3 linked regions of the Callithrix jacchus genome follow. The protein of the gene in region 3 interacts with the protein of the main gene of each other region in a biochemical or structural test. Links are inferred from orthologs where the notes say so. Each region holds a gene or a part of one and is shown on either strand. Other genes may lie near its edges.

Region 1 (3,644 bases), on a different chromosome or scaffold from region 3:
CTGTAAAATGGGAATGACAGTAGTATCTACCTGACAGGGCTATTGTGAACCACTTGGCATTTACTGTGTGCCTGGCACTGTTTTAAACAAGCTTTAAATATATACGTATTTGCACATTTCTTCCTAGCAACCCCATGAAGTAGGTATTACTGTTGTAACATCTGTTATAGAGATGAGGCATGGAGGTAAAGATGTTACCCTGCGTGCCTGAAGTCACAAGACTAGGTAATATGCGCACAGCTGAAATCTAAACCTGAATTTCTAACATTTGTACCCTCCAAACCACCACACTAATGACTGCAAACTGTCTTAGGAATTCTCAGAGGCCAGAAGCTCTGTCTTGTTTGCTATTTTATTTTTGGAGACAGGATCTCACTCTGTCACTCAGGTTAGAGTGCGTTGGCACAATTCATAGCTCACTGCAACCTTGAACTCCTGGGAAGTGTGTGTGTGTGTTCCTGTTATATTGACCAGACAGGTTGCAAACTCCTGGGCTCAAGTGATCCACCTGCCTCAGCTTCAAAAAGTGCTGGGATTACATGTGTGAGCCGCTGTGTCCGGCCTCTGTCTTGTTTTCTGCCGAGTCCTCGGGGCCTGGATAGGGATCATTTGTGGTTTGGTCTGAGTTTTTTCTTTTTCTTTTTTAAAAATTATGGTAAGATATACTTAACTGAAGTTTTTCTTTTTTATGAAGGCATAACATATCTAGAATGAGGTACACAGATCTTAATATATTTTTAGGCGTGGCTCACACCTCTAATCTCAGCATTCAGGAGACCAAGATGTGAGGATTGCTTGAGGCCAGGAGTTCAAGACCAGTCTGGGCAATATAGCACGGCCCTGTCTCTACAATAAATTTTTAAAAATTAGCCAGGTGTGGTGGCATGTGCCTGTGGTCCCAGCTACTCAGGAGGCTGAGGTGGGAGGATTGTTTAAGCCTGGGAGGTCAAGGCTACTGTGAGCCATGATTGTGCTGCTGCATTCCAGCTTGGGTGACAGAACGAGACTTTGTCTCAAACAAAACAGTTTTCCACATGTGCATAACACTATTGTAACCGCTGCGCAGATAAAGTTCATTGGTTTTTCTTTTTCTTTTTTTTTTTTGAGGTGGAGTCTCGCTTTGTTGCCCAGGGTGGAGTGCAGTAGCACAGTCTCACTGCAAATTCCACCCCTTGGGTTCAAGCAATTCTGCCTCAGCCTCCCAAGTAGCTGGGATTACAGGCAATGTGCCACCACGGCTGGCTAATTTTTGTATTTTTAGTAGAAACAGGGTTTCACCATGTTGGCCAGGCTGGTCTTGGACTCCTGACCTCAAATGATCTGCCCACCTCAGCCTCCCAAAGTGCTGGGATTACAGGCCTGAGCCACCAGGCCTGGCCTTTTTCTTTTGAGACGGAGTTTTGCTCTGTTGCCCAGGCTAGAGTGCAGTAGTGTGATCTCAGCTCACTGCAACCTCCGCCTCCCAGGTTCAAGCAATTCTCCTGCATCAGCCTCCCGAGTAGCTGAGATTACAGGCGTCTGCCATCATACCCAGCTAAGTTTTGTATTTTTAGTAGAGGCAGGGTTTCACCATGTTGGTCAGGCTGGTCTCGAATTCATGACCTCAGATGAACCACCGCCTTAGCTTCCTAAAGTGCTAGGATTGCAGGCGTGAGCCACTGCGCCCGGCCTGGTTTTTCGATTAAGGTGGGGGAGTGGGGAAGGCTGGGGAGCCTTGCAGAACAGCTGTGTGCCGCCTCCTTGCTTTATTCACTAATGATCTTTCTAATGTCTGCGGAAACCCATTTTGTCAACTGTGGCCACATGTAATCCGTTTGCTGTGTCTGCAGTGGGCTCGGGATGAGTTTGAAGGCCTCTTCAAGCAGCCAGCAGAAAACGTCAACCAGTACCTCACGTGAGTAACTTGAGTGCCCTCTTGCCCTGTCCCTCCACCAGCCAGGGCATCCCGCCTGCTCTCCTCATCACAGTAACACACTTGGCACCAGGTATACTTTTCACATGAATGAGTGGCTGCTTGGGCCTCATGCTGTTAGGGGTCGGGACTAGTTTTCCACGGAGAAAGTAAGATTGCTCTGAAGCCCATTCCTGAGGCTGAGGTATAATCCTGTCCTCTCTCTTCAATTCCTGATAGAGACCCCAAGTTTGTGGAGCGAACACTGCGGCTGGCAGGCACCCAGCCCTTGGAGGTGCTGGAGGCTGTGCAGCGCAGCCTGGTGCTGCAGCGACCACAGACCTGGGCTGACTGCGTGACCTGGGCCTGCCACCACTGGCACACCCAGTACTCAAACAACATCCGGCAGCTGCTGCACAACTTCCCTCCTGACCAGGTAATGCCCATTTGTTGGGTGCATTTGGCAGAATGTGTTTCCCTGAAATGGGAGCCTGCTGTGGGCTCTCAGTGTGGGTCCTCAGTCCAGCTGTAGCAGGTGCCCTGAGGCATGGGGATCTGAGAAGAGTGATTGAGCCTGACCTGCTTTTTTCCCACCCTAGTTCCTTTGAGCAAGAGGCTTGGTCGCTGTTTCCCTTGACTGTGGTATGGACTGAGTCATACCTAATTCCCCGTCAGGGCTGTAGGGAGTGTGGGGGAGAAATTCTGGGGTTAAGAGCACAGGAATCAATGTGGGTTCAAATCCAGACTCGAACTTAGGCAAATCACGTAACTTCTCTCTGTACCTCAGTTTCCTCATCTGTGAAGTAGAAATAATAGTAATCTACCTCATGGGGGGTTTGGGGAGGATTAACTGGTATTTATTAATATGAAGTTAGTACAATGCCCTGTAATCCATGAGAATTTGTTAAATGATAGGCTATCTAGCACAAAATGCCTTCCCAGGGATTGGTAATTGTTCTCTCAGCCTGATCTCTGGTTCAACCTTGTGGGACCCTACAGTTGGGGTCATTTGTGGTTGACTCCAGCCCCCATCGAGTACCCAACTCAAGATAGTGAGTTAGGGGCACCTCTGGGGCCTACGTGAAGCGTCAAGGTTGTCAGAGAGGCCTTCACTGTCAGGTCCTGTTCTCAAAAATCTCTTCATCCCTTATAGCTCACCAGCTCGGGAGCCCCGTTCTGGTCTGGGCCCAAACGCTGTCCACACCCGCTCACCTTTGATGTCAACAACGTAAGTCTCCTCTCTGGGGTCTCCTGGGGTCAGGTGGAGGGTGAGTAGGTGGGAAGGAGGTGGCGGTTCCCCACTCAAGGACTATGTGCTCACCTTTTCCTGCCCTGCCTTCTCCTAGCCCCTGCATCTGGACTATGTGATGGCTGCTGCCAACCTGTTTGCCCAGACCTATGGGCTGACAGGCTCTCAGGACCGAGCTGCTGTGGCCACACTCCTGCAGTCTGTGCAGGTCCCTGAATTCACCCCCAAATCTGGCGTCAAGATCCACGTTTCTGACCAGGAGCTGCAGAGCGCCAATGCCTCTGTTGGTGAGGGTGTTTGGCCAGTTGGCCAGGAGTCACCTCCACATGTCCCCTGCCTAGTCCAGCGTCCCCACCAGTCCTGTACCCCTGGCTCTGCTCTGCTCTGGGACCCCAGGCCTGAGGTTTACCCATACCTTCGTTTGAGCCTCCCTTTAACATGAAGAGGGTCGGTTGGGGCAGATTATTTCCCTCCTTCCTTCCCACTCTCTGCACTCAGGAGAAC
Region 2 (3,644 bases), on a different chromosome or scaffold from region 3:
TGGGGTGTAAAACATGTGGTAAAATTAAATTTTATTTACTTTTTTCTTATTTACAGGTCCAAGCATCTCATTTTGAAGGCCTAATCACCACCATAGTTGGGTATATACTTCTAGCAATAACACTGATAATTTGTCATGTATCCTTTAATGAACCAACTTGGGTGTTCAGTAATCTCATTCATACCAAAGAACTCTTCATTAATGGTGAAACTTGTCTCTCTGCTTGTTCTCTTAGTGAAAGTTGTAGGTATTTGCAGTAAGGGTCAGTGTAGACAAAATGTGTAATAAATTAATTCTGTCAAAAAATACTAAGTAGTTGCCTGTTTCATTGTACCTTTACTGAATTTTTCCTTAACTAGATGCTGTAGGGCTTGGCAACTCTTGTGAAATTTCATAGGTCTCGTCGCTTACTAGGAGTCTGCTATATTGTTGTTAAGGTAATTCCTGTTATAACTTAAGATTGGAAATGATTTCTCCTACACTTGGGTGATACTGATGACCTTTATTTTCACTTAAGGTCTCTTTGTTAGTGGTGGTAGAAATTGGAGTCTTCCCTCTCATTTGTGGTTGGTGGCTGGATATCTGTTCCTTGGTAAGTTGAGTATTCATTACTGTATAATAGCATAATTTCAAAGCTTCAGAAAAGGAAGTCTTCAGTGTAGGTTCTTTTTAAAGGAAAGTAAATATTTGATAATTTGCTTATTCTTTTGGCAAGTGTATTAGTATAGGATCTTAATGTTAATTTTTCTAGAGTACCTGAGTTTTTTGAGGCTTTTTGCAAATTTTTGATGTCATGATATTTTGGCTGGAATCTTTCTAATAACTAGTGGAGAATTTTATTACCCAGTTTGCACTCTCAAATTTTTATAGATAATGCTAAGATATTATATACATAGAGAATAATTTGATAAGGAAACTATCTTTGTAGTAATAAATTCCACTCTAATCATTTGGTTTAACTAAGATGCTCAGTCTTGATTACTCTTTAATTGCTGTTAGAGATAATCAGTTTTTGATTTTTTCAAAAATATTTTATGTGTAGAAAAGCTGCCTTTGGTTCTGAGATAACATTTACCCTCCCATACCTTACTTCTAAAACTTAAAAATGCAGACCTGTAACCAAGAAAAGAAGGTTTTACCTTCATCAAAAATAACTCTTTAATAGAATCAACATTAATAAAGCTTTTACCAATTGGTTATCATTCTTTATATCTGAGGCAGTAGCCAATCTTGTATATAGGTCTAGGACACCATGAAATGACATAAATAAATTGCATTTCTAGAAATCATTCCTCGCATACATATTGATTATTTATTTCCTAGAAGATGGAAATGTTAACTTTGCAAATGTAGGGGGCACACATTTCTTACCTGTCCTCTCTTGGCTCAGGAAATGTTTGATGCCACTCTGAAAGATCGAGAACTGAGCTTTCAGTCTGCTCCAGGTACTACCATGTTTCTGCATTGGCTAGTGGGAATGGTGTATGTCTTCTACTTTGCCTCCTTCATTCTATTACTGAGAGAGGTAAGTCTACAGGGAAGTGCTGATGCCATACATTTATCAAAAGGACTTTTGCTTTTACTGCCAGTCATGTCTCAAAGGCTATGATGATTTCCTAACTAAATTATATTCTCTAGTATTTTATTCTGAAAGGGAATAACTTATAGGGGACTTTGACTTGATTGCTTTAAACGGTTTCAGTTGTCTTCATAATCGGCAAGTTTTAATCTTTCTGAGTTGTAAAAATGATTCAACTGAGGAAAAAAGTAAGAGTACTCATTTTATTCTACTTCATATATATTTTAGCCATCCTCTAATACAGACTCTTATAATTCTGTATGATGTGAATGTGTCTCAGACTTCAAGGAAATGTAATGCTGGAAGTAACCGAAAGGATATGGCTTTGCAGAATCGAACATTTAAAATGGTTTTGATTTAGGTACCTTAAGTATAGAATTATAGAGGATTTTTTATGATTCCAATTCACTGGCCTGATGGGTACCTTTATTTATTTAACTAATTAATTTATTTTTGATACTGAGTCTTCCTCTTTTGTCCAGGCTGGAATGCAGTGCCATGATCTCAGCTTACTGCAACCCCCGCCTTCTGAGTTCAAGTGATTCTCCTGCCTCAGCCTCCCAAGTAGCTGGAACTACAGGCACCCGCCACCATGCCCAGCTAATTTTTGTATTTTTAGTAGAGACAGGGTTTCACCATGTGGCCAGGCTGGTCTTGAACTGCTGACCTCAAATGATCCGCCCACCTCGGCCACCCAAAGTGCTGGGATTACAGGTGTGAGTCACTGCACCTGGCCTGATACCTTTATTAATCCTATTTTTGGAATCTGGTTCTTACTGATTTGAAGATGATGAAAGCAGATGAATATTTGATTAGTGTATATCTCAAGCTCAGTCATTCCCCAAATACTGAATGTTCACTGTGTGCCAGACACTATACTGTCTTCTGGGATATCAGTGAGAAACAAAGGCACAATTCCTCAATGTTGATGAAGATGTACAGGGTGTGGAGGAGAAGGTTGACAATTCTAGTGGGAATGGAACGCAAAAGCATAAAGGCTCAATGCTGCTCCTTGTGTGCTTTGCTCTTTGCAAGATTTGAGGAAGAGGAAGAGGGTTCAGGGGCCAAAGCATTCTCCTGAATCATACAGTATGTTCAGTAAATTCTCTTAGTAACTGAAGCTTTCACTTTCTTTGAAACAAATGAGTGCTGTGACACGTACCTGTAGTCCCAGCCATTCAGGAGGCCAAGGTGGGAGGATTGCTTGGGTCCAGGAGTTCTGGGCTGTAGTGCATTATGCCGACTGGGTGTCCACACTAAGTTCGGCATCAATATGGTGCCCTCCCAGGAGCCGGGGACCACCAGGTTGCCTAAGGAGGGGTGAACCGGCCCAGGTCAGAAACGGAGCAGGTCAAAACTCCCGTGCTGATCACACCTGTGAATAGCCACTGCACTCCCACCTGGGCAACATAGCGAGACCCTGTCAATTTAAAAAAAGAAAGAAAGAAATGATTGAGAACTAAAGCAACTGCAGAAACATGTTTCTTAAAAATGTTTCTTAAATATGTGAACTCCAAATTACTTCATTAAGTGAATAAAATGTTTTATAATGTTTTTTTTCATTTTATCAATGTGATGGTCTTTGTTGATATAAAATTTGGAACTTAGGCAGAACCTTAGAAATAATGTATTGTAACTCCCTTGTTTAGAAGATGGAGAACACCAAGGAGGGGTGAAATGGAGCAGGACAAAACTCCCGTGCCGATCAGTAGTGAGATCGCAACTGTGAATAACCACTGCACTCCAGTCTGGGCAACATAGCGAGACCCTGTCTCTAAAAAAACAAAAAATGGAGAAGTTTGGGCACATTAGATGTGTTACAGACGATAGTTCAGTGAGCTTAGACCATGTAGGACTAGTACCCAGACTAGTACCCACATGGAGTAAAGGAGGACCTTTTCATTCACAGGGAGAAGGTATAGATAGTAAAATGAAGATTCGGAGGTTGTAGGGTTTTTAAAAATTAATCCCTCTGTGGAAGTGTAAGACTGAAATCAGATCTTCTATTTAGGACGTTTGTAAATTGCAGCATAACCCTTTTACTATAGTAATGGTTGTAGTCATT
Region 3 (4,312 bases):
AGTGACAGTGAGTTCTCACAAGCTCTGATGGTTTCTAAGGCAGTATTCCCTGCTCTTGCTCGCTCTCTCTCACCCGCCACCATGTAAGATGTGCCTCTTTCCCTTCTGCCATGATTTTCAGTTTCCTGAGGCCTCCCCAGCCACACAGAACTGAGAGTCTATTAAACCCCCTTTCTTTATAAATTACCGAATCTCAGCCTGGCACGGTGGCTCATGCCTCTAATCCGAGCACTTTGAGAAGCCAAGGCAGCCTGCTCAACATGGTGAAACCCTGTCTCTACTAAAAATTAGTCAGGTGTGGTGACACATGCCTGAAATCTCAGCTACTCAGGAGGCTAGGGCAGGAGAATCACTTGAACATGGGAGGCAGAGGTTGCAGTGAGCTGAGACCACGCCACTGCACTCCAGCCTGGGCAACACAGCAAGACTCTATCTCAAAAAAAAAAAAAAAAAAAAAGAAGACCGAGTCTCACCGAGTCTCAGATACATCTTTACAACAGTGGGAGAACCAACTTGCATACCTGCAGAACAGCCATATACGCCGGCTCCCTTCAGTCTCCGCCCACAAGAGATCTCCAGACTCTTGGCCTCTTTGCCTGGTTTATTCCTCCTCAGAGAACCATCACCACCAGGCTGTTTAGTGTCTGCTCCTAACCTGAGGATGGTAACAGCCAGGGCTTGGCTGCTCACCCCACACACCCAAGGCCCAGAGAGCAGGGCACAGCCAGGGCACCCACAGCATGCTCCCAAATGCATAGCCTAAGAAGCACCACCCACCTCTGCTTCTTGTCCTGGGGTCCCTGACCCTTGTAAGCCTTGTTCACCATGTCCTTCCCACTCCCATTGTCCAAACACAGAATGTCATCACTTCTCCCATCAACACTCCAGCAGCCTCCCACCCCTGCCCAACACCGTGGGTTCAGAAGGTCTGAGCTTCTAGTTTCTCCCCATTTCAAGGCCCTCTTGTACCCCCTAAGTCAACACACTGTTCAGATCACCCACTCGCCCAGCCACCCTCATGATACCCCACAGCCAAGCAAATAAACATCAACACCTCCTCCTGCCTGCCAAGCCCCTGACAGAGTAGCCCATACATACAGCCCTCCTCATTCCTAAATCCCAAGACCCAGCACAGTCGGGGCCCCCTTCCAAACCTCTGACTGACACACTCACTCCTTCTCACAGCTGTTTCCCAGCCCAGACTGTACTGTAAACTCTCCTAGGCCCTTCCGGGCCTAGCTGGAACCACTGCCTTCATAGGCCTCCCTGATTTCCCTGCCAAATGCCTCCCGCTTGGCCTCCATGTGACCCCATACACCACGCAGGGCCCTTTTGGGCCCCAGTACAGGCAAGGGCAGGCTCCTCTGCCTAAGGAGTGTCTCCCCAGGAGGAGGGCTACGGTCGTACCCGGGAAGGAAGTGCTCCCACACAGCAGCATCCCCAGCTCGTGGCTCAAGAAGCCAATGGGCCAGGGAGCTCCCCTTGGGCCAACACCTGGTGGTGGACACAGCCATGACCCCAAGCAGCACCGCCAAACGGGCTGTCCTTTCAAAAGCTCACCCTGAAGCTAACACTCCGCCATATACAAAATGATGCACTGGACATTTCTATTGCAGCTGCGTCTGGACTTAGCTAAGTGGCCAGGCTGCAGGAAAGTTTATGGAGAGCTGTGCAAAAATAAAACAGGTTCCATCTGGTCAGCCACAAGAAAGTTTCCCTCCCATACTTACTTTGAGAGGCTTTTAAAATCATGTTCATGATTCAACTGCTGTTTTCCCAGCCACCCTTCCTAAGCTTCACACAGAACAGCGTTCTCTGTGCCTCGGGAAACCAGAGGGCTATTTCCCTCAATTCTTATCATCCCAAAATGACAGCAGGAAGGACAAGGAAAATAAAAATCCACAAAGGGGCCGGGAATGGTGGCTCAAGACTGTAATCCCGGCACTTTGGGAGGCCAAGGTGGTCAGATCACCTGAGGTCAGGAGTTGGAGACCAGCCTGGCTAACATGGTGAAACCCTATCTCTACTAAAAACACAAAAAATTAGCCAAGTGTGGTGGCAGGTGCCTGTAATTCCAGCTACTCGGGAGGCTGAGGGGGGAGAATCACTTGAACTCAGGAGACAGAGGTTGCAGGGAGCTAAGATCACACCACTGCACTCCAGCCTGGGCAAGAGAGCAAGATCCTGCCTCAAAAAAAAAAAAAAAAAAAAAAATCCGCAAAGGAAGCAAACTCTGAGAACAAGTTTGAAGCATATGTGTCTCAGGTTCCCTTCAGACACGTCTCACAGACAAGAGACATCGTGTGTATAGTATCATCCTGCTGAAAGAGCTGATGATTTTAAAACAAAAAGGCACAGAAAAAAAAGTTAACACACGGAAACAGCATTAAAGCAGGTGAATCACAGAGAGCAACCGTGTCAGGCACTATGAGGTGGTGGCTGCCCAGCGTCACCCTGTCCCTCTTTCTCTGGACAGCTCTTTCCTGCTTAGGGGATGTGGCAGAAAACGTTGGCCTGACCCATTGGCCGGGCGAGCGGCACACCTAGGCCCAGGAATCCACGGAAGTCTCTGCTCCACCAGGACTGCTCCGGAGACAGGATGGGAGCCCCGGCCGGTAGAGGCGGAACATTCACCTGTCACTCATTCATGCACGCACCTGCCCTGCTCACCTGCCCGTCACTCAGGCACGCCCCCGCCTAGAGTGGAAGTCAGGGGTGCCAGGCCACGCAAGTGACGGACTGCGATTCCAGGCACCCAGACCCAACCATGCCCTAGGCTCAGGGGCTGGACTTTGGATTAAGCGAGGTCCTCACGACCCTCTATCCGGAAGCCAGATTACACGTGCAGGTTCCCCTGGAGCAGGGCGCAGGGCCACCGGCCAGGCCCAGCCGAGCCTTGCGTGCGCTCCTCGCCGTCCTTCCACCGAGCAGAGACCCGACCTTTCGGCCGCTTCCTCTTTGGGTCCGGCAAGAGGCTGGCAACCGGCCTCGAGTGAAATACACACGCGCTAAGTGGCAGGCACTGAAAAGGAGGCCAGGAGGTGACACCCGGCCAGAGGCGGGGAGGACGCGCAGCTCAGGGCCGGGTCCTAGGCCCGGGTCTCTCCCCCGCCCGCCGGCGCGGAGCCGCACCGGCCCTGAGCGCCGTCCCGGGCACGCTCGTTGTCTCGGGGTTTCAGCGTTCGGGGGCAGCCCTCCCCCGACAGACTCCCGGGATCCATTTACCAACCAGGACCAAGGCTGCCCGTCCTGGCGGCCGCGGCAAGTGTCCCAACGGACAAGGGGCCCTTTCGCTTTCGCGGGAGTCGCGGCCGAGGGGCCGAGTCCGCGACCTGCCCCTGACCCGGAGCTCCGGGCGCCCGCCGTAACCGACCTCGGGTTCCGGGCAGGAGAGCTCGGGACCGGACCCCGCGGGAGGCGGCGCGAACTGAGGGGCGTCGCGCAGGGTCTCCCGCAGCCCCGGGTCGCCGCCGTGGCCGGCTCCGGCGGGGTAGAGAGCGGGCCCGAGGACCCGGCGCAGGCCTGAGAGCGCGCTCACCTCTCCCTGTCGCCGCGCGTGGGCCGCCGCCGCGCTCAGGCTCGCCGTGGTCGAGGCCGGAGCAGGGTGCGGACGAGCGGGGCCCGCGCCCGAAACAGCCGCACCGCGCCGGGACTGGGCCCACCGAACCCGCCGCTGCGCCTCCACCGCCTCAGCCTCCAAAATGGCCGCTCGCGGGGCGGGGCCAGCTTCGCTTCCGTTTCTGGTTCGCGGCACGGAGGCAGGGCGGCCGCTCTAGGCAGCCTGGCGGACCGCGCCCACGACTCTCTGTCGCCGCCCGCCGGGGAAGGAAGGGTCGGCGCGTGCGCACTGACGGGCGGCTCCCGGCGCCGTGAGCGGGTGCTGAGAGTCCGGGATAAGGAGGCCGCGCCGTCCCCTCTCTAAATGCCCCGGCCCAGGGCGGCAGGCCCGGCTGAAGGCGACCCCGGCCGAGAAAGGACCCCTACCCTCCCGCCTCCCGGCTCCGGGCTCCCGCCTTGTCCTCCGCTCTCGCCGGCCCCAGGGGAGGCGCTGCGCGGACCGGGCGTGAAGCGTCCCGGAGCCCTGGAGGCCTGGCTGGGCGGAGGGTTGGGCGCCAGGGAGTTCAGAGCTCTCTCGTTCAGGGACTCGAGAATGTCACGCGTGGGATCGCTTTGCAACCCACGCCCGCGTCCCAGCCCCGGGTCTCCCTCACCCCAGCACCCTCCCCTCAGGTGCCTGACCGAGCCCAGGTCGCCCCTGGCCTCCCCCTGGCCAGACTTCAGAAAGCACTAGGCACTGCCTCCTCTCCACCTG

What was found.
Region 1: of the proteins of UBE2J2 (region 3) and UBA1, one has a biochemical effect on the other in vitro, tested with the Homo sapiens proteins (2 studies listed by BioGRID). The link is inferred for Callithrix jacchus from reciprocal best matches to the Homo sapiens genes UBE2J2 and UBA1.
Region 2: the proteins of UBE2J2 (region 3) and MARCHF6 form a complex in vitro, tested with the Homo sapiens proteins (2 studies listed by BioGRID, with this or other methods). The link is inferred for Callithrix jacchus from reciprocal best matches to the Homo sapiens genes UBE2J2 and MARCHF6.

The regions. Positions count from the first base shown.
Region 1 is NC_133524.1:48,168,960-48,172,603, forward strand, and holds part of UBA1 (ubiquitin-like modifier-activating enzyme 1), read left to right. Parts: intron 1-1,829; coding exon 1,830-1,894; intron 1,895-2,131; coding exon 2,132-2,327; intron 2,328-3,044; coding exon 3,045-3,119; intron 3,120-3,237; coding exon 3,238-3,427; intron 3,428-3,644. UniProt on the Homo sapiens protein: Catalyzes the first step in ubiquitin conjugation to mark cellular proteins for degradation through the ubiquitin-proteasome system.
Region 2 is NC_133503.1:195,250,768-195,254,411, reverse strand, and holds part of MARCHF6 (E3 ubiquitin-protein ligase MARCHF6), read left to right. Parts: intron 1-56; coding exon 57-137; intron 138-368; coding exon 369-437; intron 438-517; coding exon 518-592; intron 593-1,390; coding exon 1,391-1,525; intron 1,526-3,644. UniProt on the Homo sapiens protein: Endoplasmic reticulum membrane-associated E3 ubiquitin ligase that plays a critical role in mitigating endoplasmic reticulum stress, the regulation of cholesterol and lipid homeostasis, and ferroptosis.
Region 3 is NC_133508.1:39,463,237-39,467,548, forward strand, and holds the start of UBE2J2 (ubiquitin-conjugating enzyme E2 J2), read right to left. Parts: upstream 2,941-4,312; 5' UTR 2,671-2,940; intron 656-2,670; 5' UTR 537-655; coding exon 522-536; intron 1-521. UniProt on the Homo sapiens protein: Catalyzes the covalent attachment of ubiquitin to other proteins. Seems to function in the selective degradation of misfolded membrane proteins from the endoplasmic reticulum (ERAD).